Lonchura striata: one gene and its partner. The protein of the gene in region 1 purifies or fractionates together with the protein of each later gene. This does not show direct contact. Links are inferred from orthologs where the notes say so. Each region holds a gene or a part of one and is shown on either strand. Other genes may lie near its edges.

What was found. Proteins that work in one complex are often made in the same cells at the same time.
Region 2: the proteins of RTN4 (region 1) and CYB5R3 purify together in Homo sapiens (affinity purification with mass spectrometry; 3 studies listed by BioGRID and IntAct, counting the BioPlex papers as one, with this or other methods). This does not show direct contact. The link is inferred for Lonchura striata from reciprocal best matches to the Homo sapiens genes RTN4 and CYB5R3.

Annotation. Positions count from the first base shown.
Region 1 is NC_134605.1:27,221,232-27,231,285, reverse strand, and holds the start of RTN4 (reticulon-4), read right to left. Parts: upstream 4,179-10,054; 5' UTR 4,084-4,178; coding exon 3,636-4,083; intron 1-3,635. UniProt on the Homo sapiens protein: Required to induce the formation and stabilization of endoplasmic reticulum (ER) tubules. They regulate membrane morphogenesis in the ER by promoting tubular ER production.
Region 2 is NC_134607.1:1,831,878-1,842,611, forward strand, and holds the start of CYB5R3 (NADH-cytochrome b5 reductase 3), read right to left. Parts: upstream 4,395-10,734; 5' UTR 4,380-4,394; coding exon 4,359-4,379; intron 1,099-4,358; coding exon 967-1,098; intron 1-966. Other genes in the region: poly(U)-specific endoribonuclease, read left to right, coding at 8,554-8,606. UniProt on the Homo sapiens protein: Catalyzes the reduction of two molecules of cytochrome b5 using NADH as the electron donor.

The DNA of each region.
Region 1 (10,054 bases):
TCCAAGTCATGCTGCATCCTGTCCTTAAAATGCACACAACTCCTCTGAAGGAGTCCCTGCAGACACAGCAGCACAACAGAAAAAATCTGAGGAGCAAATACGCTGGTTTAGAATTTATATCAACTGCAAACGCAGGATGAGCAGGGTAAAAGGTTCACTTGCTGGGGTGAGCAGAAGCAAGTATAGATCTGCATTTATTCAGGACCTCCTGCGGCTGGGCTCAGCCTGGCCAGGGACAGCTCCAGGCAGCTCTGCTGACCTCTGCTTGACACTGTCTGGCAAACCTTCCTGAGACCTCTCCTCAGCATGGATGAAATTAAAGAAAAAATCCTATATAATCACATAGAACAGCAAGACTAATTAATAAACTGGCCCTCCACAACGTTTGCATATGTATTTAACCCAGGTCAGCTGAAGGCAACAGACATACAAGGAAACATCTTTATTCTCTCTGCATGCTGGCCTAGGGCCAGTCTGGTGGATCTCGTGTACAGGCTTCTGGTTAAGTGCAGTTTAATGTCAAAACACACTAGTCTCTTCCAGAAAAATGATATATGACCCTCCTTTTGCTGCAGAATCTAGGGCTTGGAGAAGTAAAGTGGGATCTACTCATCATAGTACACTGGTTATTCTTACTTTGGGCAGCTGGCAAAAAAAAAAGGGCTACAAATTACTTTGACCATGTATACCTACCTCAAACTGACTTTTTTATTCCACCCTCTGTAAATTCAGGTAAACAAAAGATTTAAGCAGTAATCTCTCCAGAACTGTAGTTTCTCCTACTCACAAAAAAGCAAGTGCAAAACCCCCAAAATTTGTTCAGGAGAACCCAAGTTTGTCCATCTATTTGTTTTCTCCTGCAAATATTTTTATTAGCTCTTCAGAAGGTAGGCTGCTGCTACCCTTTCAGAGACTTGCATTATATATAATTATGTCACAATGATACTAAATACTCTTAAGTGTGTAACTAAAAGCAATTACAAAGGTTTTCTTTTTTAAAAACAGCTCCATATATACATAAAATCCATTTCAATGAGCCATCAATAGGCAATACATTTTTGCTACTGTTCCACTGCCAAAAGGCAGCACCATGGCCAATTGTTGCAGACAAAAGAAGCCCTACTATTTCCTGCTACAGGCCATACTCTCTTCCTCCTGGAAACAGAATTCAGAGTTATCTGCCTCAAATCCTCATAAATGAAAGCATTAGATTTCAAATATTAGGAGATTTTTTTTCAAAATTTCTAGATTGTGAATTGTAACTCTTCAGTTATACCTTTAATTCAAACAGCAGAGTTCAAAGTAAGTGAAATGACAACTCTGCAGAGAGCAAACCACAGGGCACGTGGCTGTCCCTGCCATGGTCACCCTGCCACCAGCTGCAGGCAGAAAATTCATTTTGCAAGTCTCCCAGCATGACTGAGAGTGAACTCATTTGAAGCCAAGCCAAATATCTTCACCCAGACAGTTTTAACACCCACTGCTAAATGCAAAACTAACAAACATTTGGTGTTTAAATGGATATTTAACACTATGAGATTTGAGAAGGCCAAAATACTCATGAGATAACCTGGCAGTGCTTTTAGCAACGTAATTTGCTCTCATCCAGGAGTTTCAAGTACAGAGTCCTAATATTTCAACTCATCATTAGATGAGCATTGTGTTACAACACCTTGTCTTTGGAAATCAGGCCTCCCCCAGATGCCAGTCCTTACTTCAGAGCCCTAAATTAATCATCACTGACAAATTAAAATAACTCCTTGATGCTACTTCTCAGCTATACTACACAATTCTCACAGTTAGGTCTCTAACACGGAACTATTTCAGGAATTACTGTGCTCTTTTTGCCTTATCCTTCAGGGGTCAGAGAGAAAAAAAAAAAATCACTTCCAGAAAACGCACTTTCATCCCTCCTTTTCAAAGCAACATGATTTGGTAGATCCTATTTCTTCCATTCAGCTCTCTTTAAACCATACAGAGCTCTACTCAGAGAACATGACTAGAAAAAATTCTGTTCATCCACCATATAGAATCCCTCCTCTTCAGTCTGTTGCAAGCTTTTGTCATCATCTGTCCTTCAAATGGTGGAAACAAAAAAAAAATTAATATCCTTGGCATACTGCTACATAGAAAGCTTCCAGAAGAACAAAACTAAGTAGGCTTCATGAAAGACAACAGCACAAGTAACCATAAAGTCCCATCACGCATGCAAATAAAATGCATTATGAAACTTCCCTGAAAAAAACTAAATTCAGGTTTTAACAGGCCTTTTTAAAAATTATTGTTCCAGATGCTTTTTTTCACTAGATCCTGAGTATCATGCCCCCTCATACTGTGGTGTTTAGTTATTATTGAAATCCTGCATCTTTACAACATACCAACACCACAACAGCAATGAAGATAAGCACATACCATGATGATCTCAGGGCACTTGAATTTGTTCCTTTTCACTGTTTTAGTGGCCCCAAGTCACTTCTTTGACTTAAGGAGAAGTGGAGCCAAAGCACACTCGAGATCCGCATGCATGGCATTAGTCATGCGGGTCAGCTCTCGGATAAGACCTAAGAAGGGCTCTGGCAGTTGGGCAGCACCAGCAATTGTTGGGGGGTGACACGCCCTCCACTCCACAGGCCTGTGCTTCGGAGAATCCCCACACTACGGGGAGACGCCTTGGAGAAGCCCCAAGTAACAGCCATGGCTAAGCCGCGGCCATCCAGGACGCGAGGCTGCCATTCTTCTCCAGGACTGCCACACCTAGAGCAGCCCGGTCTCCCTTTGTGCTGCTACACATTCCTCCCTAGGTCACCGGTTCCCTCCTTGGGGCTCAGCCCCGCAGTCCACGGCCGAGGCGCGGCGTCCCCACGCAGGCTGCGGGCCGCAGGGCTGTGCTGGCCAGGTGGAGGGCCGGAGGCTCCGCAGTCCGTCGCCTCGCCCCTCCCTCCAGGCGCTGCGTTAAACATGAATAAGACTACAAGTATCTTATGTTTCTCTCCTCTCCGGCGCTCCCACGCCCGAACCCGCAGTGCCGGGCCGCCCTGGAAGGAACCGCGCTTGGGACAATGCGGCGAGAGGAGGGTTCTGCGCCGGGAGAGAACCGGCTGGAGCAGCGAGGACGCCGCGGCCGGTGCCTCGGGACTCGGCCGGTCCCCTGGGCACGGCCGTCCCCGCGGGGCTCAGCCGGCATCCCGGACACGGCCGGCCTCCCTGGACTCGGCCGGTACGCCGGGCTCGCCCCCCGCCCACCCGCGACGCGGCCGTTGCCAGGCGGCGGCGGCCTCGCCCCCGGGTGGCCCATGTGCGAGGCGGCGGCGGGGCGGCGCTTCGCCCTCCCGCCATTAGCATAACACAGAGGGGAGGAGGAGGGAAAGAGAAGAAATTACAATAAAAAAAAAAAAAAGAAAAAAAAAAAAAAAAGAAAGAACGGGGAGGGGGAGCCCTTTCTCCAGCATGGGCTGCGGCAGGGCCGCGCCCGAGCGCGGCTGAGGGGAGGGAGCGATGCCGCAGGAGGCGGCCGAGGGCCGGCAGACAAAGGGAACCTCCCGGCGGGGCAGCGGGGCTCGAGAACCGGAGCGGCTCGGGTGGAGGCTTCCCCGGCCGGCCGCCGCCCTCCCCGGGCCCGGGGCGGGAGCACTCACCAGCTGAGCTGGAGGAGGACCCTCTGCTCCGGGGGGCAACAGCAGGCTCGGGCTTGGGCGGCTGGGGTTGCGCGGGCCGGGCGGGGGCCGGGATCTGCTCCTGCGCGGGGGACGGCGTCGTGGCAGAGGAGGAGGAAGAGGACACAGCTCCCCGGGGGCTCCAGTCGGGCTGCGGCGGCTCCGGAGCAGTAGGGCGGGGCGGCTCGGCGGGGCCACCGAGGTCCAGCAGCTGTGGCGGCCGCTCCTGCGGGGCTGCGGCGGGAGCCGCGGCAGGCTTCCTCTCCATCACCTCCAGCTGCTCGTCGAAGTCTTCGTCCTCGTCTTCCTCTTCCTCCTCTTCCTCCTCCTTCTCGTCGTCGAGCACGAACTGGTAGTTAAACTGTGGCTGCTGCGGCCGGGCTGGCCCGGAGGAGGAGGAGACCAGGGGCGACTGGTCCAGCTCGTCCATGGTGCCTGGAGCGGGCGGAACAATGAGTAGTGCGGGAGCGGGGGGAGGCGCAGACTGCGCTGCCGCCGCCGCTGCGGGACCCGCACTCCACGCCCTGTGAGTCACCGCCCGGGAGGCGCGGGCGCGGCCGCCCCTCCCCGCGCCCGGAGCGGCGGCGGTGCCAGCCAATGGGAGAGGGAGAGAGCAAGAAGCAGCCAATGAGGAGCAGGCTCGGGCGTGGTTCTTATGAATATGCATCAGATGGGCGGGCCCGCGGGCTGGCGGAGCGGGGCTGACAAGTCGGGTAAAGTTCAGCGCGGAGAACGCGGGTGGGGCGGCAAAGGAGACGGGGCACGGCCCGGGGCCCCTCCAGCCCCCCGTGACAGAGCCTGGGAGCGCGTGGCCTGATTCGTCGCTCTTCTCTGCCAGGACTAGTGCCATTCTCTCTTTTTTTTGTTGTTTTAAACAGCGGCCATAAACCCTCAGCGATTTCCAGAAAGAGATGGGGATGGCTGGGCTCCCGGGTACGGATGGCGCAGGACACCGATCCGCCCTAGCCCGGCTTCTCTCACCCTGGATGTGACCGAAGGATCCCTCGGCATCCCGGGCGGCGCAGCACTGCGGGGCCAGGGAAGGGTGAGGCGCCGTCCCGATCCCGATCTCGTTCCTTGGGCATCGCGCCGATCACCGCAGGCATATCCCCCTGGGGCGGGAAGTGGAGTCAGCCAGCGCCTTCCTGCGATGGGAATTGAAGTTTTAACCAAAACATGATGCAAAAACCTTCCCGTGTCTGAAAAAAAAAACACCAGAGAGGAGACATTGTCAGAAGAGATAAACCTGTTTAACCACCTATGCTAGTCCTATGAACAGACCTCATCGTCTCTTTAGAGTATGAATTTAAATTGTGTGACTTCTGCGAGAAAGAATGGAAAGGAAAAGAAAAATGAAAGGAGAAAAATGAAAGGAAAAAGGAGAAAGGGAAAGGAAGAGGAAAAGGGAGGAAAGGAAAGAGGAAAGGGGGAAAAAGGGAGGAAAGGAAAGAGGAAAGGGGAAAAAAGGGAGGAAAAGAAAGGGGGAAAAGAAAGAGGGAAAAGGAAAGAAATTAAGAAGGAAAGAGGAAAAAAATGAAAGGAAAAAAGAATAAGAGAAAGGAAAGTGGGAAGGAAAGGGAAGAAGAAATTTAAGGAAAGAGGAAAGGGAGGTAAAAAAAGAGGAATGGAAAGAAGTAAGGAAAGAGGAAAGGGAGAGCAGAAGAAAACCTGCCTCGTGTTAGACTCTGGTGTGGTCTCCAGCTTTCTGCTCAGAGATGGAACATTGGCCAAAGCCCTTAGGGTAACACTTAATTTAAGTAAATAACATCTATTTGGATGCAATTTCCACCCACACAGCTGCCTCAATAAGACCAAAAGGCCTTATAATTCTATATTTAACATTACTCCAACATTATTATGGGTTTTTAACCCACAGGTGATTTATTCTCCCGTATAAAGAGATAAGTTCATGGAAACACTCAGAGCAAGCAGCTGCCAGTTCAGTGAGACATGAGAAGATAAGAAAAAGAAGCAGCTCTCCTGGCACTTCCTTTCTGCCATGTAGGATGCCATGGATGCGAGAGGGACAATGTGAGCTGTCCCATTAAGCAGTGACTGACAGCCTGGAGCAGGAGAAGCTCCTGAGTGGGATCAGCTCAGTGCACCTGAGCACACGGAGGGACTGAGGGGCAGCTGCATCTCACACTGCAGAGGGAAGAGCTTCTGGCTGGAAACTGGGGTTCAATCACCAGCTTCAGTCACTGTCTGAAAAATGAGATGGCAACAAGTGAATATAGGGGCTCCAAGAGGTCCCAGCACTGAGTCCTCTCTTGCCTCAGGAAAACAAATTGTATTCTTTGCATGAACAGTCTGAACCTAAATATTTGTGCTGCTATTAGTATTGGGAAGGCCATTCTAAGATACCCCATTTTCTAAATGACAAGAGACCTTCCAGCTTCCAGTCCTAATTTGCTCAAGGCCAAGGTACAGCCTCCTACCACTTTTCCCTTTAAATTATTTTATCTGAATTTTAATTCCTAAGAATACACATTTCCCAGCCCTTGCTTTCCAAAGCTAACACTGGAGAAGCTGTGCTGTCACCCTTTCCCCTGCTCCTCCAAGCAGCTTTTCCCTGCATCCAATACAGTCTCAGATCAGGCACAGGAAATTCCAGATGAGATTTTTTTTTTCAAGAATGTACAAAGACATCAAGATTCCATATCACTACCAGAAATTACCAAAATAAATGCGCAAAGTATTTTTGTAAACACATTGAGGGCAACATTGTTATTCTGATTGAGATAGATGTTTCCAGCAGGTGAATAAGCCCTTGACAAACTGTGAGGTCTTTAGATGCCATTTTTTGCCCCTAAGATCTTGGACATTCATTGACAAATTATCCATTTATCTTTTCAAGTCAGCCCCTCTTACAGTGATATAAGGGATGCTACAGCAGCAGCAGAATGGTGACATAGCAAATAAAATACTTTGATTAAATAAGGTCTTTATAATTTCACCAGCAAATCTACTTTTTGCACCTCTTGGTTAAATAAGAAAATGGATTTTTTAAATTCCATTACTATATAACTTAATGTAACAAGGTACCTTTAAAAATTCATCAAATTCTGAGCATAGACACATATTTAGAGATGTGACATATTTAACTATGGGGATTTTTGGTCATTACAAGAAGGAAAAATCTATATATAATTTGGCTGATTTTATCAGAATTCTTGGAAGACTTTCTATCATCAATTAGGAACAAATGAAAGGAGTTTTTATTTAGAGACAGGAAGTGACTAAAGGTCTTGGGGGGAAACAGGAAGGGAGTTCCATATTCTCTGAGCGAGTCAAATTAACAAGCAAGAGAAAACCAGAGATCTGTAATACTGAAACTATTGCAAAAGAGCAGGTTTTAGCTCTTTAGAAAAGTATTTTACAATTCTGCTAGGAAGATTGTCAACAAGTAGGAGTATTTTGGAGATATTCAGCAATTTATTTTACTTAGAACTTAGTGAAAATTTAGTTTTCATGAGCTGTTTTCTTGTAGCAAAGTTAGGAAAGAAAGAGAGAAACCCCAGTGGGGATGTTTCTGAATTTCCACAGCAGTGCTGCCAGTGGTTACATACTGGTGGGATTTTGTCAGTCCACTCTGACCTTCTGCTGTATCTTACACAGAAGTAATATGATATCACAGCAGATCATGAACTAAGATAATAATGGTGGTAGGACAAATGCAGTACTGTCACTTCACAGCAGGACCCAACAGAAAAAACCCACATTTGGCCTCAGATAGCGATTTTAAAGGATGGATTTAAAATTGCGAGGGTGGCTGGATTTCAGTCCCTCCTTTTAAGCTTTAAGGACAATCGCCCAGGTTTCAGACATAATATCTTTATCTCTGGAAGGATAAAACTGGAATTCTTTGTTTTCAGATTATGCCAGTGCTGAATCGAGCAGATTTGCCTCACAGGTTTGTCTTCACTTGAACGCCTGGTGTACTTCTTTTCAAGATTAGCAGTGGCATATTGTGAAAAAAACTGCTTAGTTTATTAATACAAATGCAGCATATAGAGGGGGGAAAGTGTGAAAACAATAGAACAAAGGGATTTCCATCTCTTGATGGTAACTGAGCCAGGCTGGGTTTATCAGAATCTTCTGTGGTGCCTTCCTTGTCCTCTGCTATAAATAACATTTTCTTAATTATAACTTTTCTACCCTGTTATATTCTTTAGTGCTCCAATAACTTATTATTCTGAAATTATTTGATTGGAATCAAACATATCCATTTCTACAGTAAATGTCCCACTAACCATGTCAATATACAGTACTCTGATTCAGACCTGTCACAATACACCCTGTAGAACTTCCTTCAGCCAGCCAGATGCTGAGCCCATCCATCTGCATGAAAGAGAGCAGTTTCAGGAGAGCTCTAAAAGACACCAAGTGCCACCAGTGAAAAGTTGCCATTAATTGTAGCTTTAAATTCCTACATCCAGGTAATTTCTGGTCTCTGTAAGCTGTCATTCAGAGGGACCAAAGCTGATATATGCCATTAAAATGATGGCACACATTAGCTTTAAAACAGTGAAAAAGAACACATTTGTTCATAAATAAAATATGTAACATTTGAAGGGAACTAAAACAATGACAATACTCTCCAGTAAATGAGACTATGACATGAATAACTTACCTCACTAAAGCTGCACAGGGATCCACTGTTAATGGGAATTTGGTCTGATTACTCTTTATCTCAGAAAGAACACCTTTGGTCTTGCTTAAAGGACAATACAATTAATTTTATGTCTTACTGACACCCCCAGAATTTTCTAATCCTCAGAATACATGTAATTCCCCACATTAGGTTTAATGTCACTACTTGTCAGCCCCTCACACTTTTAAGAAATACAATTAAATTATTCACTTACCAGTTTGGCCATAACACTCTCAAGGAACATAAGGACCATCAGTTCTATTGGATCTAGACAAAAAAAATCCATTCTCTATTAACAAACAGCTCCAGATATTATCAATTACTTTTTCTAATTCATGTTCCCCCCTCCTAATTTTTATTTTAAATCATCTCCACATTCTGACTCCAGGTACTGATGCCACTCACTCAGTGACTAGAACTTAAAACAACAAGAATGAGCACTCTAAAATCATGGCATTTTATGTACATTACTTTAGGAGCTTTTTTAAAACTTAGGGATTTATTACAGTTATAATAAATTGGAATTTAAACTGGTTTGCTTTGTAAAGTGAAAAGTGTATATAATGTATATTGGAGATCAATTTTTGCTCTTTATCAGCATTGATATTGACCCACTTAGGAAAGAAACAGCCTGATAATCAACATTCAGGATTATTCCCTTGGCTGCCAAATGTGCCCAAGGAGAAAACAAACAGATTGATGGGGGCAACATTTTTACCATTACTGGAGACAAGGCTGATGGCATCACTATTGGAATTAGGAAACTTAATTATACAAGCAAAGTGTGCAGAGGGAGCAGCACATAGATCTGAACTCACATTTGTAAGGAAGAGCTGCTGTTTTCCAGAACTTTTCTCACTTTTTAACAACTTGTCCCTTGCAAATGCTTTTAGCAGGCTATAGCAGCTAGAGCCTTCACCTGGGTCATGGTGGTACTTGGGGCCACAGAGCATTTCTGACTTCTGGGGATGGAATGTAGGGCAGCTTTGAAAAACACTACCAGGACTGAGGCTTCTTTCTTAGAGTATTTAGGGAGCTCTTCCTTTTATCTGGGTCAGACAAAGATAGGACAGCTAAGAAATGTCCAACATGACTTCCCTGCTTTCTCAGTATCACATCCAGCTGGTCATACATTGAAGCCCTTTACCTCCCTCACCTTTCACCAATTAAAATATTCCAGCTTTTGAACACTTCAGGCAAATTTTAGTTAACTATGGCAGTGGCAGAAGATTCAAGGATATTGATTTCCTGAGTTTTGTAGAAACCAGCAGCTGGCTAAGTTAGAGAGAGCTGATGAGCTCTCCTGTGCAGGGGGCGCCAGGAGAACCTGGTGGTTCTCCATTCCACTGGTTTATATATAAGTACTTTTTGCAAGCCTGTCTGTCATTTAACCAGATGGCAAAACCAAAAAGGAGGATGAGAGGTGTGAGAACAACTGAAGGTATTCCAGGATAGAGATGCAAACAGTGTAAGACCTGGAGCTATAGAAAACTTGAATTTGCTTGTTTTACTGGTTTGGAACTAGTTTCTGACTGGTGTAGATCAGGATGTATTTCTAGGTAAGTCATGCTGGTGGTGACAGACTACCTAAGTGCAACCACAGTGTTGGCATGGGAAAAAAAGGAATCCTGAAGGCTAAAGTCTTTCTGATATATCCTGTAAAAAGGAGCAGAAATGAAAGGAAAAGATATTGAGAAAACAGCATATGGAAAAGAAGTGGCACAGGGCTACTTTAGTCCGAAAAGAA
Region 2 (10,734 bases), on another chromosome or scaffold:
AATAACAGTGTGGTTGCAGTACACCTGGGAAATAAACTCAGCAATGCAGCCCAGCCCAAGCCACAGGGAAGCTCTCAGTTCCCACAAACCCAGGATTCAAAATGACAGTATTTTTTTTTTGTTTCCTTTAACAGAACCAGTGAAAGCTAAGCTATCAGTGCACCCTCTAAACCTCAAATAAATTTCTGTTCGTGTCCAAAATCTTCTGATAAATTTCTGAATAGCTCATAGCTTTAAAAAATCAACACTAAAAATATCCTCGGGTGTGCTTTACACCTGAGAAGCCAAGATTTCTCTCTCATACTTTTGATGGTGGGTTTATCCAATGGAAACCTAGACTTTTCAACTTTGGTGGCTTTGGCTCACTTCCCACAAGCTTAGTTACCAATTTCTGATGGCAAGATCTGCCCTTGAAAGCATCATGACCTTCCTCTGGTATCCCACTTGATCAAGCATTTAAGTTTGTACCAGGAGGCTTCACTTTTAACAGAGAATAGAGAAGCTGAGACAGTTCGGGTGCTGTCAGGACTGCATGACTTAAACACCTTTCTTCCTGTAAAACATTACAGTACTTCAATCCAGTGATAGGAACCAGCATCAACATAGTTCTGGCAGCTGCTGTTGAATGCCACTGACCATGAAAAAGCTGCTTGCTCTGCCTGACTTGTGTCCCTTAGCCCAGTCAGAGGTGCAGAGTTTGAGAATTTCTGCTGATGCGCTCCACAATACGAGGCACACGTGACTGTGCCTTTGATCATTTCCAAGCAGCATTCTCCACTCTAAACTGTTTGGAAACAAGCTGCTTGCACAACTGCAAGTTACACCACACAAAGAGCTTTTATAAAGAAGTCCTTTCCTCAAGACAAAAGTATCCACCCTGTTGGGACATCACCCAAGACTTGGGAAGCTGTAAGCATTTCACAGCGCCCACTGAGAGGTCGTGCTCAGCACTGCACGTGCACTTACCTCCTTATCAATCAGCCTCAGTGCATACTTCACTTCTGGGTCCTTGAGGGTAATTGCAGGCTGGGGATTCCTGAAGAGCCTCATGAAGGTGGTGTAGATGAACCATATTGGGTATGTCACAACCTGACGCAACTGCAGCAGCACAGAAACAGCGTTAGACACGTGCAGAATGAGAGAGTGTGACAAGGAATAGGGGCCTATGCCATTGCACTCTAACCACCAGAAAGAATGTGTTTATTTGAGAAGGAAAATGAAGCATTATAAAAAGAAAAAAATCCCAAAGCCAAAGATTTGCTTTATGAAGACCTGGCATCACTCCTGTTTTGAGGCAACTGCACACCAGCACAGGGTTGCCATGCTGGCAGCTGGATACAAAGTGAGGCTGTCACAGCTCCATATCCCCAGGTGCCCTGACAGGGAGGCTGAATCCCCATCTCCAGCAGGCAGACAGACACACGTATCACAGAATATCCTGAGTTGAGAGGGGCCCATCAGGATCATCCAGTCCAACCCCACACAGGACACCCCTACAATCCCTGAGAACACTGTACAAATGTTCCTTGCACTCTGTCAGCCTTGGGGCTGTGATGAGTCCCTGGGGAGTTCCAGTGCCCAACCATCCTTTGTGGGGAGAACCTTTTCCTCGTACCCAGCCTGTGGCAGACCACACTGATCAACACAGCCAGACACACACAAACAGGGGCTCACCCTGCTCCCCTCCCCATGATCGGGATGAAGGTCCATGAGTGGCAATTCCATACACACATACCTGTATGAGGTGGATCCCCTGGCAGCTGGCTTTGCCCTGGCAGAGTGTGCCCCCTCTCCAGGCTCCCCAGCTGCTGCCATCTGGACACAAGGGCCACTGTTGCCCACACCCCTTCACAGGCCACCCCACGTGCTGCAGACACCCTGTAATTTGGGGTCTCATACTTGAGCACAGACCCTGTTCTCCCCCTGGCAGCTGAGCAGGGCTTTGCCAGCCATGCCATGCTGGTGCTGGCAGCATGCCCACACCCTCCAGCTCAGAGTTTGGGTGCAGGCACTGGCACTTCCACCACCACACAGAGCCCTGCATGCAGAGCAGCACCCCTTCCCTGGGAAAGCAGCTAAGTTGCAGGACACAGCCAGGGACAGCCCTTCTTGTGCCTTTACCATCATTTTCCCCACCTCTGAAGTAAGACAGGAACAGATTATGCTCCGACACCACACCACCCTCTCCACACTGGGGCAGGAGAATAAACTGCACAACTACTTATAAAAATCTTCTCTAACTCAGTAATTTATTAATCAACACTTGAACAGAGGAGAGAGGAAAAGCATTACCATAGCAAAAATAAAAAATGAGCTCAACATTTTACCTGCTTAGCCTTTACCTTCCTTTTATTTTAAAAGGACGTGAACAGTATTTTAGAATGGCATTTGTGCAACTATAACAGTCCCTCAAGAGGCTATAAAAACTTCCCACGCTATTAATGATAAAACTGTGGGACAGCACAAATTCTCTCTTAAAGTGCTGCTGTAAAGGTTTAAAATGTATCATCACTATGTATAGCCTGAGGGCACACCATGCCTTACACACACTTTTTAACGTCTATTTGGGAATACTGAAATAGCTCCATACATGTTGTTTCTGAAGAAGCTAAAGTTTACAGGAAACTTATTCCTTAACTCTCATAGATCCACCAAATTACTGCAGCTCTGGGAAGAAATTTTGGTATTGAGTCACAAAAAGGGGCAGAGGGAGGGAGGTTGTTCAAGGTGACAGAGCAGCAAGTAAACTCCTTAATGAGAAATTAACAAGTGAGTGAGGTCTGGAGGCAATAGCAACCTGACTCTGCAGCAGGTGTTTCAAACAAGACACTAATAAGTTAAAACAGTTTCATTTCCAAATGTGGCTATCTCAAGTGAACAAAAAAATAGAGCTGCTGCTGTTAGGCAATAATTTTAACATGGTGTTAACCTTGTGGAAAGACATTTGTTACTCATGGTCAATTAGTAAGTCTCATGGGATTTGGTCTGGAAAAACACAGCACACCCCCAGTTCAGAAAACTATTTTAGTCCCTTACTCATATCTATTACCAGGTGGGCAGAAAAATGGGGAAGAATTGAAGGCTGAATGATTACAAAAAGTCATGCTTGCTAGGAAAAGCATTCTCTGGGTTAAAAGTAGCCTATATACTCTCACCACAGGCCAAACCAAGATATAAATGAAGATAACTGCACAGCATCAGATCTCCAGCAGCAGAGAGCAACAGGCTGACCACAAGGCCTGGGAATCACCAAATGGGGACCCTGTGACTCATCATTTCCAGCTTCACAAATCTTTACAAACAGACAAGGCAGAATTAGTAACTGAGCAGGAATTTTTATTAATGGAAAGAGGCCTCTGTGTGATAACAGGCAGAAAAGCCAGGGAGACTGCACTGCCAGGGCGTGGTGAGCACAACACTGTCCAACACACAGGCTCAGAGCTCGACACCCCAGCACTGCCCTGCCCTGCAAACACACAAACCGAACCCTGCTTCGGCATGAGAAGCATTGTACCCTCAGCTTCAAACACCCTGCTTTTGAAGTAATCGCAGCTCACAGATTATTCGCATGTGTTTCAGAAACCAGCCAGAGGATAACGGGATTTCTTCACCTCGGCAGCTTTAGCCGCATCTCCCCTGTTCAAAGCACTTAGGAGCAGCTGTTCCCAAAGGAGAGTATGTTGAATCCAGCTCCATCCTGCCTCCTCAGAAACCCGAAGAAAAGTGTTTGAGCAGAGGAGCAGAGAACCGTGACAGGCAGCTGAGAAAAGAGGGTAAGGATGCCTGGCAGAGGTGACAGCTGCAGTCCCACGGCCCAGCCAGCACGGTCACAGGCAGAATCGTGGGATGGTTTGTGTTGGAAGCGACCTTAAAGATCTTCTCGTTCCAACACCGTGGGCACGGACACCTGCTAATAGGGACACTATTCCAGCTGCTCTGAGCCCCATCCAGCCTGGCCTTGGACACTGCCGGGGATGGGGCAGCCACAACTCCGCGTAATGCGTGCCAGGGCCTCACCACCCTCACAGGGAACAAATTCTTCCTCAGAGCCACTCCAAACCTCCGCTCCTACAGCCTGAAATTATTCCGGCGGCGGAAAACACCACAAGCCTTCAGAGCCCCAAACACTAACAACAACAAGAACAGACACCCGCGGAGCTGGGAGGGCAGAACGCCGCGGCAGGGCAGCCAGCACAGGCACCACCACCGCGCACCGCGGGACGGCCCCGGAGCCTCCGCAGCACCGCGCGGCCCCGGGCAGCGGGGACACCGGGACACCGCCCCGCCCCGGAGCGCTGCGGGCGGAGCCGGGGCTGCGCAGGAAGGGACCCCGCTCCCGGCCGCCCCCCGGCACTCACCACGCTGAGCTGCGCCCCCATGGCTGCCCCGGCACACCGCGGGCCGCGCCCCGCCGCGCCCGGGGCCGTCCCACGCCGCGAAGAACCGCGCCGGGCCCGCCCCTCTACGTCACGCACAGCCCCGCCCCCGTGACGTCACGCGCGGCGAACTGCGCCTGCCCGCCCCGCCCCGTGACGTCACGGCCGCGCTGTGTGAGGGCAGCGCCCCGAGCGCCCTTCTGCGCTTTGTCCGCTGCGGGAATGGCGCGGCCTGCTGCCGGCTTTAAGCATTTGCCACACCACCCAGTGCCACCCCCGCCACGGGCACGGACACCTTCCCCTTGCCTAGCTGGCTCTGAGCCACATCCAGCCTGGCCTTGGGCACTGCCGGGGATCCAGGGGCAGCCACAGCTGCTCTGGACACCCTGTGCCAGGGCCTCAGCACCAGAGAACAATTTTTCCTTATACCCAATCTAGCCCTGCTCTTTGTCAGTGTGAAATCATTTCCCCCTTGTCCTGTTGTTATAAACGAAAATTTGTCCAGCCACATTAAAATGAAAAAATAAAATATTTATTTTGCAATCCAATTCTATCTATCCAGCCACAAGGAAAGAACAGAGCCGAGCCCGGGGCTGGCCCTGGGTGTGCAACAAGGAGTCAGCCTCAGCAGAGGTTTTCCTCTGTGCCCACACGCCTCCATCCCGGTACAAGCAGTTTTCATAGGGAAAATTCCCCGAGGCCAAGATTTTTGCAATCAGTCTTTTCTTCCATTCAGAGTCCATAGGTTAATAAGATTTTCTTTTTTGGTGATGAAGAAGAACAATTCAGTGTCTGGAGTTGTTGGATCCCTTGATGAAGTTTACGGGAACCCTGCATTCACATGTATCTGCCCAAGGATTTCCATGATACTCATCTCTGGGAATCCTGTATCCCTCCAGACATGGCCCATCTCCTGGCCTGGCCAAGTCACATCCTTTTACTTGTAAATCAGATTTCAACATACACCAGGTTTTGCCTGTGAGGGTTGGGGGGACTCCTAATACAAATGTGTATACTCCAACAAATAGTCAATATCACATATATCATACTAAAAATGGCACAAATTAGATCTACTACACGTAACACTCACTCCAGGCCCTCGCCAAGTCTCCATTTTTCCTGTGGGTCCCCTTCAGGCACTGCAAGGCCACAGTGAGGTCACCCCAAAGCCTTCTCTTCTCCACGCTGAGCAATCCCAGTTCTCACGGCCTTAAGAATTAATTAGCAGCAATGTTTATCCAAAAAGCACCAGAACTGAGCTGTGCAATAAGATATAGTTTCAGCCAGGCTCCCTTAAATTTTGCTTACACCAATGTGTGAAAATCAGTGACTAATAACCACATGTGTCTTTGTGTCTGTGCAAAACATGAAACACTTCAAATCTCTTTAATTACTTTGTCTTCACATATTATGTCTTCGCAATATGCCTTCAATGATTCCTCGACAGTTTCTCACAAAATATGCCTGGCAGTCCTAAAAATAAAATAATAAAAAAAAGTCTTCCCTTATCCCTTAGGCCCACACAGAGGTGCTGAGCCCCGGTGAGCCCAAGCAAATATTTCCTTTCATCCTCATGATTTGCTGAGTGGGAACCTGGCTCATCTGGCTGCGAGAACATATCATAAGTCCATCATGATTTACTTATTAAACCTGGGAATTAGCACTAGGAAGTGAAAGAATACTAACAGACTAACCTAATGCTAAGAAGGTTGTGCCTCAGTCCAGGTATGCACATTTAGCTGCAGGGATGGAGTTATTTATGCCTCTTTTTTCCTATGACAAGAGCATGCCTGGCTCTGTAATCCTCATGGTTTTCTCTTTCAGGATGAAAGCTGCTGCATCTGAAGCTCCCCAGTAAGTGCAGGGATTGTAAATACCACTGGCTACAGAGAAGGACTCCAGGGGGAGTCTGGGAGGCTAAGGCAAAGGGAGATAACTGAGACAGGCACAGGGATCCTGGAGTTTGGTGCCAAAAAATCTGGCAGGAGAGGCTCCAACTTGAATATTAATATTTAAGGAAGGGTGGAGACCTCGGTGTACCCATGTTCTGCTTTCACTATGCTCTGACCTGGCTGGCTTTCAAGTGACCAGCCCAGGATGTGTCTCCACTGCTTTTCAGTGTGTGTCAGCTTGTGGAGACTTGGCAGCAATAGTCAAAACTCCCATGGGAATGTCCAGCATCCTCAGTGTCTCATAAACTTTCCTCTTTCTGTGCAGAATGTAACCCAAAGACCTGCTCTGCCTTTTCCTGGGAAAGGACTGAGTGTGCTGTAGATCTGCAGGGTGTTTGTTCCAGCTGGCAGCTTTCACTCAGTCTCCCTGAATGAGCCTGTCCAGCCCAAACCTGCTCTTTGTGCTGGTGTGAGCCCTGCCCGCTTTGGTCTGGAAGCCTGTAAAACTCAGTGTTCTCACTCACGCCTCTCTAGATTGACCAAAGAGGTTTAAATAACTCTTTCTCCCCTCAAGGAAGTGTAAGCACCAGACTAGAAGTGACAAACCAACACTTACTCGTTGGCCACCTTGACTGGAAAAGCAAAATATTTAGGCCAAAAATGCACAGAGATGCCTACATGCTTTAGAAACATGTTTAATTCCCAGGATCTCCTTGGTCCTTTACGTTGGCAAAGGTCAGCATCTGATGCTTGAGGTGCTGGTTTTGTCAGGCAGAACTTCTAGAAGTTTTTTGCCCTACTCCTTTGGAAATGCTGGGTACGTGTGAGTGAGCACCAAACACTCCTCCCATTCCCTTGGGACAGAAAAAGAGGAACAGAGCACAGAGGCAGCCTGGCCCCAGCTCTTGCACAAAAACCACGTCCGCTGCTCTGTGCAATGGGTTTGACAAAGCTCTGGCTGGGCTCTGCTGCAGAGGAAGCCAATATTTGTAATAGCACCCATGGATACCAAGGCTGCTCTTGGCACATTCTCTTTTTCTGTGTTAGACCTGTGAATGACCCAGAGTCTGTACTGATCTAATTTGCCTTCGATTAGTGTTTAGTTTCTGTCAGCAAACACACTCTTTCACTCTCCTCAGGATCTCTGCGTTTTTCTTATAACAGTGTCCAAATCAAAAGACAGAAATTGTAAAAGACATACAAGTACACGGTTGGTTGTGAAATTGCTGGTGATGCTACTGAGCTGTAATCTTATTAAAGATGAACTTAAATTCATTGACTTCAGTGATGATGCTGCTTGTAAGTGAAAATTCCCTAGGCTCCCATCTGGGCTCTTTCTGCTAGTGTGAGTAAAGAAGTTGCAATTTTTTAATAGACAGAATATGCCCACTAGCTTTTGTATTTTAAATGAAAGCATAAGAGTTCCTGCATTCAGTTGATAAACTGGGACAGTTGACAAATCCAAGGCACTGGATTTTCATTATTTACCTTGTTTACCCTGAAGTGCAATAAATACTAACCAGATGGTAAAGAAGATTTCTGTTAAAATTAAGGATATTCAGTTTTGAGATGGTTTAATTTCTCCTACTAGTGTCAGAAGGAAGCTTCACTTTTAAGTGTTTTAAGTGGGCTGCATATCTTGTTCCCTGTGCAATTTTGTGTGTCTTCATCACCAGGGGCTTTATTTAGCCCTAAATTGGTTCTTTGAAGGGGTTCATGGACCAGAGGTGCAAAAGCACTTGTAAGACTGGTATCTAGCATCAAGCCATTCTGGCTTCTCTACATACATATATCTAGTTTAGACCTAAAGCTGTGCTTTTCAGAAATTAATTATGATGAAGAAGAAGATATCACAAGTACCAACCAAACAACAATAAGCTTTAAACCATCTGAGGGTTGATTTAGCCACAAAATGAATGCAAGATTCCCAGGATAGGCACCAGCACCTGCCACCACTTGTTTCCAGTGGCACATGGAAAGTTCTCCCTTTCTAGAACATTTCTCGTTTATAACACCTTCTAATATTCACAGGATCACACGTAGCAGTTTCAGCTCTAAATAGAGATGCATTTGTTGGGTTTTTTCCCTTCACCACCTTTGATTTTTTTTTTTTTTTGATCTCAGATTAATTATCGTCTTCCCTTCTACTGTCAAATAAAAACTCGATACAGAATAAACAGGACTAGAATGTCCTGTCCACTTCAAAGCTTTCAGACTTGCAGTGCTTGTTTCTGGGCTAAAACTTCATCCAGAGACATAAAAATCCATTTGGCAAATAATCCATGATGCAAGACAAAGTGAGGCAGGAGCCTGCTACAGGTGCCTCTGACTTCCTGGTGTGAGTGTTCCTGCACTGAGAGCGCTGTGAGTTGTGGCGCTGTCCTCAGACTCTTGTGGGAATTGGCACCTCCTGCCTCTCCTGTGCCTTCCTGCCAGGCTGAGTGACAGTCCTCAGTGGGCAGGAGGAGCATAAGGGGAGCACAGCTCGTGCCTTGGACTACGGGAGGATTGCTGAGCTTCTGGCTTCTGCCTTCTCCCTGCTCAGAGTATTTCCCAAGAGAAAAACTTCTTCCTGGCATGGCAAGTGGGTAAGAGATAATCATACTAATTCTCCTCTAACAGGCAGGGTAGGGGGGATGAGATATATTTTTCTGTAAAAAGGGTGAACATTACATGACATGCAGCACAGCAAGAACCTTCTTCCTCTTTCTGTTCTGTTTTAGTGACTCACTGTAAATCGGTGAGGCTACTGAATCTCTAGCTTAAAATAAAGGTGATGCCAAAATGAGATTGTGCTTAAATATAGTTGGTAACTCAGAATCAGTTCTTCAAACATCAGCTGCCTGCCCAGGACCTTGACAGATTGTTTCACTCTCATGTTTGCCCCTTGACGTTGCCTTTTCCTTTCCACATACAAAACCTGCCTTATGTATCTTTTGGTATTTCAAATACCAGCTTTAAATGGAAAAAACAAATCACTGGACTTAAACAGAAGACATAGACACTAGCATAAGATGAAAATCTAGAGAATTGTTTCTATCTTCTGTTAGCCATAAAAGCTGTAACATGTATTTCACAACATTTGAACCAAGTTTTTTAAATGATTGGAAACTTCTTGTAAATGGCTGCTCATCAGGTGTTCCAAATTCTTTTCTTCTCTATGTAAATGTTAAAGGCTTTATAAAATTGCATGCCATTGAAAGGATCTTTGAAAGTAAATTTACTTTGGAGAAGGTGTTCAATCAGACCTTATTTGCAGGGCTTCATGTGACCCATTCACAATACCTGTTCTTCTTGCTCTAACACTCTTGACTTGCTCACATTATTTGTCACTGACCTTTAATTCTTTTCATGTCTTGAATAATTTCTGATTTATAGTAATAAAGTCTTCTGCTTGGAGCATTGTTTTGGGTGGAATGAAGAATAAAACTGAGATTCTTTGACTCTAAACACACTGCTAGTGCATCAGTTGCTATTGCAAAGAACCTCTCCCAGGTTTTCTCAGCTCTTACAGTGCAGACTGAGTGTTGTTACTGGGGTGGTGCTTTGCTCACGTAAGCACATCCAAGCAAGGCTCCAAATGGACAAAATCCAATTGGCCAGACTTCTCACACAGAAATAATTAATTCTATGTGAAGGCATAAATCTAACAACTCAGAGCTTTCACCATAGGGAAGGGACTGAGAATTGATGATAAAAATCTGTTTTGAGTCACCCATGTCATTGTGTTGCAAACCAGGGAGAAAATACACAATACCATTTTCCAGGACAATCTTACCTACATGCTGGTGTGTCATGGATTTCCATGAAGTTGTTTGGCATCTTCTCATTGAAGTTGTCTCACCTGGTATGTGTAAGCTAAGTTTATGGCCCTTTTTAAAGAGATACTATCCAGAAAGAGTTTTTACAAGATGACTGTATAAGTTGCTAGACAAGTTTTTCGCTTTGGCAAGGGTATTTTTTTTTTTTTTTTTTTTTCCTCAGTTGCAGCATAAACAGGTGCTCTCTCTGTTTGGAAACTAAAGGTACAACAAAAAAGGAGAGGAAAAGTCCATGATGATATTGTGGTAGCACCTAGCAGAGATAAAGGACAGTAAAGGCTTTTACTTCATAAAATTTAGTGATTTCAGTTTTGGGACAAGTTTTCTGAACAGAGAAATACAATTAGTAGAAGTATATTTATTGAACAAAAATGAGGATTGAAATCTGTACATACACTCTTATTGTAACCCTCTCCTGAGTAGACACCTTTAGCTCATGTGATATTTCATATTTCTAAAGCAGTGCCCTACAGTGCTTTTATAAACAGTGACAAATCTGCTAAGAGCAGACTGAGAGCAAGTGAATATTAAAGAGATGATAGATCTCTCCTAGATAGGTGACTGAAACCAAAATATACACATACTAAAAGATATGTACATAAACTACTGTATCTGTGAAACAAAATATTATAATAAAACCCGAGT